2 linked regions of the Struthio camelus genome follow. The protein of the gene in region 1 interacts with the protein of each later gene in a biochemical or structural test. Links are inferred from orthologs where the notes say so. Each region holds a gene or a part of one and is shown on either strand. Other genes may lie near its edges.

What was found.
Region 2: the proteins of MAFG (region 1) and NFE2L1 form a complex in vitro, tested with the Homo sapiens proteins (2 studies listed by BioGRID and IntAct, with this or other methods). The link is inferred for Struthio camelus from reciprocal best matches to the Homo sapiens genes MAFG and NFE2L1.

What each region holds. Positions count from the first base shown.
Region 1 is NC_090960.1:370,164-377,314, reverse strand, and holds the start of MAFG (transcription factor MafG), read right to left. Parts: upstream 3,017-7,151; 5' UTR 2,838-3,016; intron 2,121-2,837; exon of another isoform or gene 2,063-2,120; intron 2,026-2,062; exon of another isoform or gene 953-2,025; intron 1-952. Other genes in the region: PYCR1 (pyrroline-5-carboxylate reductase 1, mitochondrial), read right to left, coding at 7,033-7,151. UniProt on the Homo sapiens protein: Since they lack a putative transactivation domain, the small Mafs behave as transcriptional repressors when they dimerize among themselves.
Region 2 is NC_090966.1:5,758,675-5,766,348, reverse strand, and holds the start of NFE2L1 (endoplasmic reticulum membrane sensor NFE2L1), read left to right. Parts: upstream 1-4,659; 5' UTR 4,660-4,756; intron 4,757-4,965; exon of another isoform or gene 4,966-5,301; intron 5,302-5,371; exon of another isoform or gene 5,372-5,443; 5' UTR 5,444-5,586; intron 5,587-5,990; 5' UTR 5,991-5,992; coding exon 5,993-6,502; intron 6,503-7,674. Other genes in the region: COPZ2 (coatomer subunit zeta-2), read right to left, coding at 329-384, 459-591, 752-829, 969-1,024, 1,099-1,190, 1,275-1,447, 1,525-1,599, 2,145-2,165.

The DNA of each region.
Region 1 (7,151 bases):
GAAAGGGGTTAGTGCTCTCCAAGACACCTAGTAGACAGGTAAAATTCAGATGCTCCCAAAGCTTGGAGCCTGCCGGGAGGCAGGCTATTTATACCCAGAGGACAATGTTCCTTCCAATGAGATGCCTGCTACAACCTGACAGTGCTGGTGTAAAAAGGTCACTTTGTCAGCCAGGGAAGCTAGCTGCAAGGAAGCAGGCTAACACAGGACGGGCAGCACATACGCAATTGCTTCATAAAAATCAATTTTTCCCTTTTGCTCATACCTCTCTCCTCTGCTCCTCCTTGGCAAACAACATGGCTGCTGAGAAGAGGGGCAGAAGAAAGGGATCAACTGGGGAGACCAATAACGCCACCCCAGCAGCACCTCCCTGCAGCGTCCTCTGCTGAGCATAAGGAGCAGAGGCCAGGCACGGTCAGTGGGAACGGAGAAGTTTGTTTGCCTTGTGGCCTTAACCAGCACTCAGCTGCCTGGCAAGCACTCAAACTTCCTTCATCACAGCGGAGCTGAAAACAAACAACCAAGGCCACGGGCGCTGCAGCAGCAGACCGGCCCCGGGGAAGGGAACTCCGCCGGGCAGGCTGCGGAGATTCAGCAGCGGTGCTCGCACAGCCTGGACCCACAAAGGCCCTGTGGCACTGTCACTGCTGTTAAAGCTACAGGAACCCACAGAAGAAAATCCCAAGGAACAGGCTAACATGGGGGAAGGAAACTGCATGTTCAAATTTAGGGCCAAACCGGCTCAGCAAAACCCTTTACCGGGGAATCCAGAGGTCTATGCAACGCATCTCAGGAGCCATCTAGAAACACTTCTCCTATCCACATCATACAGCTACAACCTGATAAAGCAAATTTTTTACATGACAAAAGCCTGTGATTGGGTTGGCTGAACAAACGAGGCTGCCACAAAGAGGCCTTCTAACGAAGCCCACTGCACCCTCCCGACCCTCACCCAAAGTGCTCGCAGATCCGACCGCTGCTGTCAGGAGAGTCAGGGCAAGCGGGAACCAAGAGGAATCAGTAGCTGGGAGACATCCAATGCACTGCAAGAAGCCAGTCAGGATGGAGGCAGCAGACTGATCCGCAGACAGGAGAAGAGACTGGTCCCAGTAATTTAACCTTTTTTTGTATTTTAAGAGTCAGGCATTTCCAGCTAGAGGAATCCAACTTTTTCAGGCCTCGTTCCCATCCAACACGCCTCCCAGAACAGCCTCAAAGCTGTAACAAGACCCTGGCTGACAGCATCTGGGTGATTTCACCTCTCCTCGCCTCCAGTCCCCTTTCCAAAGGGGTCAGGGATGGAGACAAACCAACACACTAGTCCGTCGGTAGCACGGGAAGAACGACCTAGACACAAGTTGCTGGCTATTTTCTGGCCTTGCTCAAAGGATCAGAGACAGAACCATTTGGCAGCTCGCACAGAGGACACCCAGAGAACTGGCGTCAAGACAGAGACCAAGCTGGGTCTAACTCTCCAGACTGCTGATTCTCAGCTTTCGATAGCTTCCTGAAGAAGGATCACACTGAGAAGTGCCAAATGCAACGACTGCAATGAAGAAAACGCAGCCTCAACACATTTCCCCAGAGCTGGAAAGGCCTGAACTCAGCACAAGCACGGCCAATTCTCTCCTCAGCCCAGAGGCAGCACGACAGAGCTGACAGCCGCGCGCATGATTCGACGCAGGCCCCATTCTCCACATTCCTGATTCACAGAGCGGTGCCATGAGCCCAGTGTAAACACGGTGACGTCACTCGTTCCAGCACAGGCCAGCCCGGAGAGGGAGGCCCATCTATCGGGATGCGGAGGCAGGGGAAGGCGCCGGGCGCTACGAGACGCTCCGCGGCACGCCGCAGGAAAGTTCTCTCTGCCCGCGCGGGTTTTGAGTTAGTTGACACAATTGTCCCAGGAATCCAAGCAGATCAGTTGTTTTCCCTCGCTACACGCACAGTCTGCCTCCCGTGCATCCCCGCTCTTCCCTTGGGAGTCCGAGGTGAGCTCGCATCCAGAACGCTTCCACCGTAATTATTCAGTCAAGGAATCTGCCCGCGCACCCCGTTTTACCTGCGCTTGCGGGGACGACGGGAGCAGCCTGCTCTCAGAGACCCCCTCCCCGGTCCCAGCGGTGTCCTCCCCCCAGCATGCAGCTGTATATTGAAACATCGCTAATTCTGGGCGGTCAGAGAGGCAAGAGCCTCCCCCTAAACACACCAAACCGGGGTCCTGCCCTCCTAGAGCAGGGAGAAACGGGGCACGAAGCAAAAACCCTCCGCGCCGGCCAGGTCCGGCAGCCTGCCGGGCGCCTTGGCCCGAGCGAGCGGGAGGACGCGCTGCGCCCCGGCCCCGGCTCCAGCCCCGGCTCCAGCCCCGGCTCCAGCCCCCGGCCCCGGCCAAGGCCTCGCAGCCGAGGCTGCCCCGGCCCCCGGGGCTCGGTCGCACCGAGCGGAGCTGCGGCGCCGCCGGGGAGGGCGCCCGCAGCCGGGAGGAGCCGGGGCAGCGGCCGGGGGGCGCCGACACCCCCGGGCGCCGGGGCGGGGCGGGGGCCGCCCTCGCTCGGGGCGGTGCCGGGCCGGTCCCGGTCCCGGGGCGGCTCCCGGGCCCGTCGGCCCCGCACCTGTTGCGCGGCGCCGCGGCGGGGGCCGGGCGGGCCGCGAGCCCGGGGCGGCGGCGGCCCCGGCACCCCCCATCGCCCCCCATCGCGAGGCGGCGGCGGCCCCGCCCCCGCCCGGTCCGGCCCCGGGGACCGGCCCGCCGCCCCGCCCCGCCCCGCCGCGCCCCGCCCGGGGCCGGGCCGCTCCCGCTGCGGGGCCGGGGCTGGGGCCGCGCCCGCCGCGCTCACCTCCTCGCGGTGCCGCCGGGGCCGGGCCGGGCCGGGACCGGGCGCTGGGAGGGACCGGGACGCCGCCAGCCGCCGCCGCCGCCGCTGCTCACGGACGCGTCACGTGATGTTTGGGTCACGTGGCTCCATTCATGAAGCGGCCGGTGCAGCCGCCCCGAGCCTTAAGGGGGACGCGCATTACTGTCGGAGGCGACAGCGATAAGGAAGGGGGCGGGGCGTGCCGCGCCTTAAAGGGGAGGGGAGGGGAGGGGGGGCGGCCGGCTGGCTCCGGGCCCGGTAGCGCCGCCGCCCCCGAGCCGCGGGGACGGGCCCGGCCCGGCCGCCGCCGCCGCCGCCTCCTCCGGGAGCCAGAGCAGCGCTGCAGCCGCCTGCCCGGATAAACCAACCCGGAGCGGGGCCTGGCGCGGCCGGGCACCGCCCGGCTCCTGCGGCGCCGCCGCCCCGCTCCCGGCCCGCTCCCCTGGGCCACCGCTGCAATCACACACGCGAAGCCCTCCGCAGGGGCTGGCACAGACCCCACGTCCAGCGTTTTAACTTTGCCCCAGTGCGGAGGGGAGCATCGCCCCTGCTCCTGCTCAGCCAGCCGCTCCCGCGCTTCCACGCTCCTTGCTCCGTCTCAGCAGCTCATCTTTGCTGCATCTACAGTTTCTCAGAGCTGCTGAAACTGCAGGGAGCAGCAAGGTCTCCCCTGAAAATGCTGACTTAAGGAAGAGGGCTTTGCAGCTGCTCTCCGAGGCATTAGTGACAATGCTGAAGCAAGTTTCTGCTGAAAAAGTGTACGAGCAGGGCTGGCTCTCGGGCTGTGAAATGGTGCTCTCCCCCCCATCATGCCTGGCTTGACCCATGTGTCCCCATCTATCCTGCTATAACTCTGTGCTCTGTGTCCATAACACAGCAATATTTGTACCTATCCTCTTTGCTGCTGCACGACAAGCAAAGCAGGCCTCTGCCCACCAGAGCACACCAGATGAGCACAGCGGAGGAAGGACATCAGTGAAACCAGGCACACATGAATTAAGACATCATGGAGAAAGCATGATCCTTATAAGGAAAAAATCTGGGCCCTGGACATTCAACAGCAGCTCCACTGTCCTCTGCCATGCATGCAGGGGACACACAAACTAGAGCCGCACAGAGTCATTTTATATGCTTTGATGGGCTTTTTCTCTTCTGTGCTGACCAGCTAAGTTACAGGTCTGCAAGCATCGAGCAAGCTCAGCTCTAGTTCTTGCACAGCAATGCCTCTTCTAGGGCACACTGGGGCAGCCCATATATCCCTCTGGAGGGGCACAAGCTCATTGTGCTACCTTTTATCGTGTTCCACATTATCAGCTGTGTGGAAACACTTTGTGCAATGCCCCATTCACTTTTTAATCAGACAGTATTTCAACCATCTGACTTACAGCTTGGCAGATCTGTGCAGGGTGTTCACAGCTTTTGAGCAGGGAAGGAGAGGAACATGTGGCACCAACTTGCTTCCCATGGACTCTTGTCTGCAGTAGCAGAACTGCTAGGAAGCCTACAGTTTCAGGACGGTATGACAGAAATTAACACTCAAAAATCCTCAGCCTGATTTCAGCCAGAAGGCTTTTTTCCTTCAATTTTCTTTAAACCTCTGAATACTGGTAGCATAGGGCCCTAAAATAACCCTTATGTTGTTGCTCAGGAACTGTAAATGACAAGGAGAAACTGATACCTTCCCAGTCCCACGGCCAAACGAGCCTCGAAGACAGGAGAGCAGCACAGCCCAAGCACACTCCCTGGGAACAGCGAGGATCTGCTGGCACCAGCCACAACCAAGAGACCCACCCAGTCCAAAGAGCTGGGACTAGCCACAGGCCTCAGTCAGAGAAGCAGTTTATTATATAAAGAGGGAAGAGGAGTCACCATCTCCAAGGCCTAAAGGGTCATACCCTGCTACCAGCCGAAAGCCTAACACTGAAGAAGCTTTTCTATTATTAGCACCTTTGGCAGCCTCTGCACTGTTACCTAAATGCTTTTCCTGTATCACCAAGATACCCAGGATTCCTCAGGAGAGAAAATAAGCCCAGCTTAAATGTCTTCCTTTTACCAGCACTACCCCAGTGTATCCCAAGGTAGAATATAGTATGACATTTATCCACCCAAACCCCCTCCATCCCCTCTAGTCTGCTGCTTCCACTGCAGCCAGCTAAAAGCGATAGGGGCAGTTTGAATGCTTTGTACTGTTTTCTGGCTCAGGATAGCACTCAGGGTCTGAGAGAAGAGTAGAGGCAAGGAAGCCACCCAAGGGTATTTACTATAAAAAAGTCACATAAAGCAGCAGATGAAACCTTGTATTTGCTGCTGTTCTTGAGATGGCTCCCAAGACCGTGCCTGATTAACCATCTTTCTACATGATGGGCTGTAATCCCCCCAGTTGCTGAGAAGGGTCAAGCAGGGCTTCCCTCTCAGCCTGCTGCTACCCCAAGCCTGGCCAGATTTCTCCCCTCAGAAGTCCTGGAGTTCAATGGGCACCAGAAAACACTGCTTCCAGACCCCATTTTTCTCTGCTGTTTCTTGCTCACACATTTGAGTTACGGTGGAGAGAAATTCTCCAGACGGGAACATCAAGGGTTTTCCTCCTCTGCAAGGGTACAGTCATCTGGACACGCTTCACCAAACAGCTCCTTGTTGCTGCACAGGCACTAGGCACTCACGAGTACTCCCTTAACCTCTTTTGTGTCAGGCAAGGACTGAACCATTCTCTTCCTGGATCTCATGCAAGATAAGCTATGTGAGAAAGAACAACATTTGAGCCACAAGCCAGACCAGAGGATTCCGTGTTTCCCTTCAGTCTTGTATACTAAAGGACTAGGAATGCAACTGCATGAAGCATCCCCAACTAGTTTCTAGGTGTTTCCTCTTTTAGCCATTAGCAGCGTGATGTCGTCAAAAGAACAGGAAGAAAAAATAATAATCAGAAATGGGCTAGAAAATGCCAAAGAAACCTAACTGTGCCAACACAAAGGGATACTGAGGGCTGCTGTGCCAGAATTCATCATCCCAGCCCAGGGCACTATTGTCTGGAAGGGAGAACCAGCCCACTGCAGCATATCTAAACTGCAGGAGCTGAAGCACAGTAGCCCCTGGCAGCGAGTGCCAACACCACAACCCAAGAAGACGACACGGCCCAATTCAAGGAAAGGAGTCGAGGAGAGTTCTGCTGCCACGCGGTAACCCAGCACCTGGGTACCAAACCCAACCAGACAAAGCCCACTTGAGCCTAAGGGAGCAGCGCAGTAGAGGGCTTTCTCTGGGGGAGGGTATCCCTGACCTCCGCTCTGCACTTCTCCTGGGGCAGCAAGGAGAGCATCAGGAAGCACAGCGACCACTGAAGCATACCCATGGGTGTATGGGAGCAGATTCTGCTTGTGAGGAGTTCACAGGTGCCAGAAACAGAGGGAAGAGGGAGCACGTGCTACCCCTCCACCTGCCCAAACACCCAAGAAGGCTAGGCAGCAAAGGAAGGACAGTGAGAGTAGGTCATTGTTCCCAAACTACGTGCAGCAGGGAGAAGGAGTAGCCAGTGAAGAGAGATGCGGTGCGGTTCAAGCACTTGGGGTGCTTGAAGGCCAGGGGTTCACATCATTGGGCTGTCAAATCAAGGCAGATGGGAAACAGGGCAGAGGCACTTTGATCCCTTTTGAGAGGTACATTAGAGCCTAGCCTCTAATGGAGCGCAGAGCACTGCATTTCTGCAGTAGTATCTGTTCTAGCTAATATAGACAGTGACAGAAGACAAGCTCTGACAGCACATGCTGAGGCAAGAGGGATCCAGCCTGGTTCAAACCACTGAGACCAAAAGGCATTCTGAAACCTCTTAGAAATACCAGTAGAAACCACATCTGCATGGGACACAATAAACACTGCCTGAGCTCTGGGGGTATCCAGGGCCTCTGGCCAAATGATGCCCTTGATAAAGCTCTGGTGATGCTATCACACCCCTGCCCAACAGAGAACAGCAACGCTAGGGGCAGTTTTCACCAATCCCGCTAGAGGTGATTGATAGATAGATAGATCCTCTCCTACAGCCTCATGCTGCCCCACAGCTGCTGCAAGCTGAGAGCCAGGTATGGGGAACACCAACATCCACAGCGAGAGGTTTTTCCTTAAACAAAGAAGAAAGGACATATAGGAGACTGACTATCAGCACAGCCAGATTACGGTAGCCTGGTCAGTTCTTCTTACTGCTGGGGCTCTTACTGGTGAACAGACTGACTTTGCTGGCAGATGCCACAGACAGAGAAGGAGATTCCAGCTTGACCTTATCTAACAAAGTCTTCTTTATGGCTG
Region 2 (7,674 bases), on another chromosome or scaffold:
CAGGACGAGCGGGGCGCTGAGCCGCTTCGCCGGTGCGGCCTCATCCTGCTGGAGAGCCCCGGGCGCCTTCCTCCCGACCCTCCTCTTCCGCAGGGACCGTCGCGCGTGGCTCCTCGGTGGCCTGCAGCGCCTGGGGCGAGACGGGGCGGCCGCCCACCCGTGGGGCACGGCACCGTGCGGGGACCTTCCCGGCCGGACGCCTGGGTCCCCGGGCTGGGGAGGGGGAGAGGGGTGCACCCGGAGGGGTGCACGGGAGCAGGACCCCGGCCCGTCTCCCACCTGCCGTGCCGCCTAGTCCCTCCGCTCTGCCGGCTCCCTCCGCGCCGAGCTACCCGCCAGGTAATCCAAGAGGACGAAGCCGTAGGCTGCCGGCTCCGGGGCCGCCTGGGTGGAGAGAGGCAGAGGAGGTCGGAGGAAGGCCGGCGCCGGCGGCGGGGGGGCCGGGCGGCCGCACTCACCCGGAGGCTCAGCCTCTGCGCCACGTGCTGCGGGTCGCTCTCCAGGATCACCCTGCGGCGAGGAAGGGCCGCGGGGCGGCGCGGTCAGGGCGCGGGAGCCTCCGTGCCTCGGTTTCCCCTCCGTGCGCGACGCCTCGACGAGGAGCCGGGGTGGGATGCTCAGGTCCGGCCGGGAGCCGGGCAGAGACGGAGCCGGCTCGTTTCCCCCGCCCGGGGACACCGCGGGTCCCCGCAACCCGCCGTGCCCCCAGCTCCTTTTGCTGTTTTGCCCCCAAACCCCGGCAGCAACTCACCCCCCGTCCACGATCTCGTCCACCACCAGGAACGCCCCGTCCATGTTGTCCAGCAGCCAGCGCTTCTCCACGTCCCCGCTGCGGGCGGCATCATGCATCACCCCCGTCCCGCTGGGATGCGGGGTGGGGGGGGCCGAGACCCCCTCCGTGCCGGGGTGGACGGCAGCGGGGGGGGGGACACACGCGGGTTTCGTCCCGGTGCCGCTGCTGGACTCACCGCCGCACGAGGCCGAGGGTCTCCACGAGGCAGCTGAGAACCGACGCCAGCACGAGCTGCAGGGACGAGCGGCGGCGTGAGCGGCGGCCGGGGGGGACCGAGGGGGGCCGGAGCTGGGGGGGGGGCTCACCTCGTTCTCCTGGCAGCTCCCCGCCACGCAGAAGAAGAGGTCGGCGCTGCTCTGGCAGACGGCGGTGAGGCCCTGCAGCGCGGCGACGTCGCCTGGTGCGGGCGGCCGGGCGGCATCAGCCGGACCCGCTGGGACCCCCCCGCTCCGGGCCGCCCCCCCCCCCCCCCGGTGCTCACCGCCCGCCCGCTGGGCTTTGCTGAAGACGCTCCTCTCGAATGCCGCCTGCTCCTCCGGCGAGGGGAAGGTGCCGTCGTAGTACTGCGGACCGGGGCGCCGGCGTCACCGCCGGGACCCCCAGCAGCAGCCCCGAAATCTGGCCCGGGGGGCAGCTGGGGCACCGCCGGCCTCCCTGGGTGGGGGGAAACTGAGGCAGCGAGCCCTTGGGGGGGGCGCTGCGCGGGGGTGCTCGGCACCGGCCGGCCCTACCTTGGCCAGGAGCCGCTGCCCATCGCTGTCCAGGATGAAAAGGGCCTTGACGGTGTAGAGAGAGGGCTCCCGCCGCTGGGACGGGCCGGGGGCTCAGCCTGGCGGCGGGTCCCGCCGGACCCACGTCCGTCCCCCCTCTCCGCTCCTTGCCCCCCGTTTCTTCCCGTTCTCCCCATTTCCCCTCTTCTCTGTCCTCCCCAACACCTGTTTTTTCCCCTTTCTCGCTGTCGCTCCCTTTTTCCCCCCTGTTTCCCCCATTCCCTGTCCCCGTTTCCCCCTGTTTCTCCACCTTCCTCCCCTGTCACCGCCCCCGGTCTCTCCCCGTTTTGCTCGTTTCCCGTCGCTCTGCCTCCCCTTCCCCGCCGCTTTCCTCCGCTCCCCGCTGGCTCCCCGTTTCTCCCGGCTCCCTGTCATCAGCCTGTGTTTCCCTCTCGTTGCCCCGTCTTTCCCCTGTTTTTCTCCCTTTTTTCCCTCCCTTTTCTCCCCATTTCTGCTTGCTTCTCCATGTTTTCCACCGTTTCCCATCTCTCCTGTTTTTTTCCCCCCCATTTTTCGGTCTCATCCCGCTACGCCCGTGCAAAGTTCCCGGGAAGTTGCTGTGTCCCCGCTCCCGGCCGTACCGGCAGCCCCGCGGGCTCCATGGCTCCGCCGCCCCCGGCAGCCCCCCGCCGCTGACGTGGCCGTGCGCGGCCCGGCCCGCTCCGCCCCGCGGCCCCCCTGTGCCCCCCCTGCACCCTGCCTCAGCCCCACTGCATTGCCCCCCTGCCCCCTGCTCTGCACCCTGCATCGTTCCCCCCCCCCAACCCCGGCACCCTGCTCTGTCCTGTTGCACCCTGCTCTGTCCTGTTGCACCCTGCTCTGCACCCTGCATCACCCCCCCGCACTACCCCCCGCACCCTGCTCTGCCCCATTGCAACCTGCATCGTCCCCCCGCACCCTGCTCTGCCCTGTTGCATCCTGCATCGTCCCCCTGCACCCCACATCACCCCATTGCACCCTGCTCTGCCCCCCCTGCACCCTGCCCCCTCCCCCTGCACGCTGCTCTGTCCCCAATGCACACCCAGCCCCTGCCCTTGCACCCCTGCCTTGCCCCACTGCACCCCCATCTCACCCCCCTGCAGTACCCAGGCCCCCCCGAGCCCACCCCCTCGGCCATGTGCCGTGGGGTGCCCTGGAGCCCGGGACTCCCAGGTGCCCCAAATTGGGACTTTCAGGTAAGCCCATGGGGCCACCCGCAGTGGGGCAAGGGGGGGGTCACCTCCCACCCCAATTTCTGTGGCCTTTAACTCGGGGACCCCTCCGTGGGTGCCAGGGACACGGTGGGGAGGCGAGGGCAGCGAGATGGGGCGTCCTGGCGGCGCGGGGAGCCCGGCGCGGGGTCCGGCCGGCGGGTGCTGGTGGGAGACGGGCTCGGCCCCGGGGGCAGCACGCGGCCGCTGCCAGCGCATCGGCACCTCCCTGGGCGCCGTGGCACGGGGCCCTCTGCCCCGTCGGGGGCTGCGGGGGGGCCGGGATGCTCTGGACCCTGCTGCAGGAGAGGCTGGGGCCCCCCCGGGCGGTGATTCCCAGCTGGTCGTCCCCCCCCCCCCACCGGGGGGTCTGCAACTCCAGGTCTGTGAGCTCCCGGTTGGTGATCCCGGGGCTGGGGACCCCCCCCCAGCTCCGACCCTGCAGCCTTGGTCTAGGACCCCGGGTGCGCGATCCCGGATCTGGCCGTGGGGGCAGGCTGCCTGCTGGCCGCCCTGGCCGTGACCGTGGCCGTGGCCCCGCCGTCCCGGGGTCCGGGAGGTCGCGTTGAGCAACCGGCTCCCGCCCTGCTCCGACCCAGAGTCTCTCCGTGACTCCCCGATTGCAACCGATTCACCCATTTGCTTTAACCTCCACGGCTGGCGCTGGGGGGGGTGGGTGGGTGGCTGAGGGGCACGGTTGTGCCGGGGCTGGGGGCTCCGATCCTGCTCCTGCTCCAGCCAGCGAAGCACCGACGCGCTCCCGGGACGGGCCCTTAAGCGAGGAGCACGCTCGTGCCGAGAAGGGAGGATCGGGGGGCAGGAAGGGAGGAAGCAGCGGCCTCAGCGATGCCGGTGAGGGCGGGAAGGGTGCTGGAGGGCGGCCGGCGGGCTCTCTGCCGCCCCGCAGGAGGCCCGATTCCCCCTCCGCGGACTCCAGGCTGGAAAGCGCATGGGCGGCGAGAGCTGCATCCTGACGCGTGACAGGAGCCTCGTTCGCCGGGGTTGAATTCGAACCCGGGGACCAAAAAAACACCCCAAAACCCCCCAAAACTCGCTGTGGGATTGGCCTGGGAGAGCAGCTCGCCCCCCCCCCCCCCCGGTCGCTGCTGGGCCGAGCCCGCCGGCGAGGCAGGTCCGTCGCTCGCGGCGCTCAGGTGACGGGGCCGGCTGCCATCCCTCCAAATAACCCCGCAGGGGGAAGCTAAAAATAACCCGGCGAGGGGGCAGCGCGGCTCGAGTTGCTCCGGGCACCCGCCGCGGACGGTGGGTAGGATGGAGGGGAGAAGGGGCTCCCACCACGGGGGGGGGGGGTCATCGCCCCCCCCCCGGCTCTCGTGGGTGTTTCGTGGCTCGTTTTTTTTCTTTCCCCAAGAGAAAAGCGGGGAGACGGCTCGGGGCGAACGAGTGAGAACGAGCCAAGGCCGGAAGCGGCGATGGCGCCGCCGCCATGGCCGCCCCGGGCCCACGGCGAGGCCTCGGGCCTAAAGGCGCTGGGCGCCATGGCAACAGCTCCAGGGCGGGGCGCTGCGCTGCCGGGATTGGGGCGTGTGGCTGCCACTCAAACGCCGGCCCCTGCGCTCTGCCTCATTGGTGGCCGCCGCTGTCGCTCGGCGGAGGCGCCGCGTTCTATTGGGTAGGCGCCCTGTCGCTCCGGCAGCGCGTGCGGGGGGCGGGCCAGCGGCCTCGCGTCTCCTCTCCGGGCGTCGCGCGGGGTCCCCGCGGGAGAGCAAGGGGAGGGAGCAGCGGCCCGAGCCGCGCGCCGATTGGCCCGCCGGGCCGCCCATCACCGGCCGCGACGGGGGCGGGAGCGACACCTCCCCGCCGCCGGCTATTGGTCCGGCGCCTTGTCCCGCCTCGCCTTTCCGGGCGCCGATTGGCGGGAGGCGCCGCGCGAGGCGGGCGGGGTGGCGGCGGTTGTGGCAGGGCGGGGAGCGAGGCGCGGGGCCGGCCGCCGGCGGCTGCGGGGCCGGGAGCCGGCAGCGGGCGACGGCGGCGGAGAGCGGGTAGCGGCGGGCGGCGGGGCGGCGGCGGGGGCCGGGCCACGGGCTGCTCCCGACCGGGGGGAGGCGCTGAGGGGCGGCGGCGGCGGCGGCGGGGGGGGGAGGGGAGGCGCTGAGGGGACGGCGAGGCCGCGCGCGCGGCGGCGGGGGGGGGGGGCGGGTCACGAGGAGCTGGGGGGGGTCTTAAAGGGGCCGCGGTGGCGGGGAGGGGGGAATCTTAAAGGGGCCGCGCGGCCCCTTGTCAGGCCGCGGCCCCGGTCGGGAGCAGCCCGCGGGGTGGGGCCGTGCCCTCGGGTCTCGCCGCCCGTGGGGGGCCCCGAGTGGGTGTTGCGGTGCCGAGGAGCGAGAGGGAGCCGGGGCTGGATGCCTCTCCAGAGAGGGGATGTTGACGCACCAGGCTAAGAATAGCTCAGGGAGGGGAAGCGTGGACAATGCTGTCGCGAAAGGTAACCTTTGTTTTGTGTGTTTCTGCCTCAGGGTTTTGTCAGGAAATCAGCGAGATTAGCTCGGCTCCTGGGGAGGCTGTGCGTGGCGAAACGGTGTAGTAGGTACATGTGCAACGCTTAGGGTGGTGCCTGGTCGGCGCGTTATCGCCTTTGCGCACTGGTTATATTTCAGCTTCTGATGAAATCGCGGCCAGAAGTGGAGGAGTCTTTGAACCTTTCCTTGATCAGTACCTTTGACTCGTAGAGGCTCCTTCAAGAAGCTTCTCAGACCTTGAGGGGGAAAGAAGAAAGCAAGCAGTTGGCTGTCAGAGAGAGCACACCCTGTCCTGAGCGGGGCGAGGATTTGGGAAGGCTAGAGGAAGTTGCTGTATGTGAACTTTTTGGACAGTAAGTCACATGGATTTTTATGTAGCTTATGAACAGTTTTATAAAACAGTTATGTTTCAGAAGAGGAGGAAAGGGCACTGGCGGGTGGAGGCTGTCTCCGAGGGTATGGTTCGTCACTTCTTGAGATTTAAATCTTTGATTGGACCCTGCTGGCCAACCTGTGATTTCTGGTATGTTAGGAGTTTTAAAAGAAAAACAAAATCATCCAGAACCAAAGTTTTGAATGTTCTTTAGACTTTTAGCTTGTTGTTTTGTGATAACCTGAACTGTGAAGTCTTTGCTTTATTTTGTTTGCCTAAAAGTGGGGCAGAGGAAAGACAAACCCAACCAACCTGTTGTGTGGAGAGTTAATTGGACTTTTTTTTTTTTAAGCCTTCCACCTGTTTTCTTCTTTTCTCCTTCAGAAATGCTTTCTCTGAAGAAATATTTCACTGAAGGCCTCATCCAGTTCACTATTCTGCTCAGCTTGATAGGCGTTCGTGTGGACGTGGACACCTACCTGAACTCGCAGCTCCCCCCTCTAAGGGAAATCATTCTCGGCCAGAGCTCTGCTTACACTCAGACCCAGTTTCACAATCTGCGCAACACCTTGGATGGATATGGCATCCATCCAAAAAGCGTAGACCTGGACTATTATTTCACAGCTCGCAGGCTCCTCAATCAGGTGAGGGCCCTGGACAGGTTTCAAGTGCCCACCACTGAAGTCAATGCCTGGTTGGTGCACAGAGACCCTGAAGGCTCTGTGTCCGGTACCCAGCCCAGCGCCGGCATCGCCCTTGAGAACGGCAGCGGCCTGCAGGATGGGACCAGCCCTGACAATGGCGTGAGGGAGAGCGGAGCTGAGCAGGGATTTGGTGAAGAACTGGAAGACTTGGGAGCGGTGGCACCCCCAGTGAATGGAGACCTGACCAAAGAGGTAGGCAGTGCCTTCTTTCATATAAGACACGTGTCAGGAAAGAAAGGGAGCCCTTTGAGGGCTCTGGGAGTAGTCTGGCTCTGGCACGTTTGATATCCATCAGGGCCTGTTAAAGTGAGCAGGACTTTCTGCATTGTGCCTGCTTAGCACTTTGGAAAAGTGGGCCCCTGCTTGTGAATTGCATGGCGCTGAATTAAGCTTTAGCTAGAGGGCTCTAGGTGGATACACGTGGTTTGTGTTTTATCCTCTCTTTTTTTTAATTGTTTTATTCTTGGTTTGAAAGTAGTAGTGAGAGGGGGTGAAAGGGTTGGGATCAGTATTTCAACCTGTGCCTGTAGCTTTGTGTTGTGAAACCGATAACACTGGGAAATAAACAGGAGCATTGGGTAACAGCCATATCCCAGGTGCCGAACGGGTGGTTGGGTTACTTGCTGCTGGAGTTCATCCAGTTGATGTTTATTGCTTGGGTTTTCATCAGAGAAGGGTGGGGAGAGGTGAATTGGAAAGAGGTTTATTTTTCTGTCTGAGCGTAACCTTTCAAATGCTGTGATGCAATCAAGTTCTGGCCCCCAGTAGCTGCTGCGCTCTTTCCTTTGTGGCGTTGGTTTCTTTGTCAAGGCATGTTCAGCCTTAACATCTCTCTGGCCGTGTTGTGTTGATGTTGGTGCTGAATTCCAGTGTTAGGTGCTTCTAGCGCCGCTGCTGCTCCTCATAAATTGTTCAGGGCTGAGCTGCTCAGGAGGCTGGGCACAGAAAGAGCTGAATTTGACTCCTGTGATCCCCTGTCCCCTGTGATGAAGCTTAGGGGTGGCTCTTTGGCACCAGAAGGTGGGGAACTTTGCAGGCAGCTGTCGCGGATGCCTTGAGCTTTTGTCATGTGGTTTCTGCAGGCAGGAAATCGTGTAAAGACAGTGATAGGAACGCATTCGTGTAGGAGAGGCAACGGTGACGACTGTTTCAGATTTAGTATTTACTGAGGATGGGCTGATGCCGTAGGAAGTGTGGATGGTGCCTAGGTTGTACTTGCGGGAAGCCTTGCCCTGTCCGCTAGGATCTCCTAGCTCCGGAGGCGAAGAGCATGTTGGCAGTGTTGAGACTATGGAACTGAGTGTCAAAGCCCTCTTTCTGCCTGCAGCCAGCGCTTTGTGTGACCTTGGGTGCCTCCGTAAGAG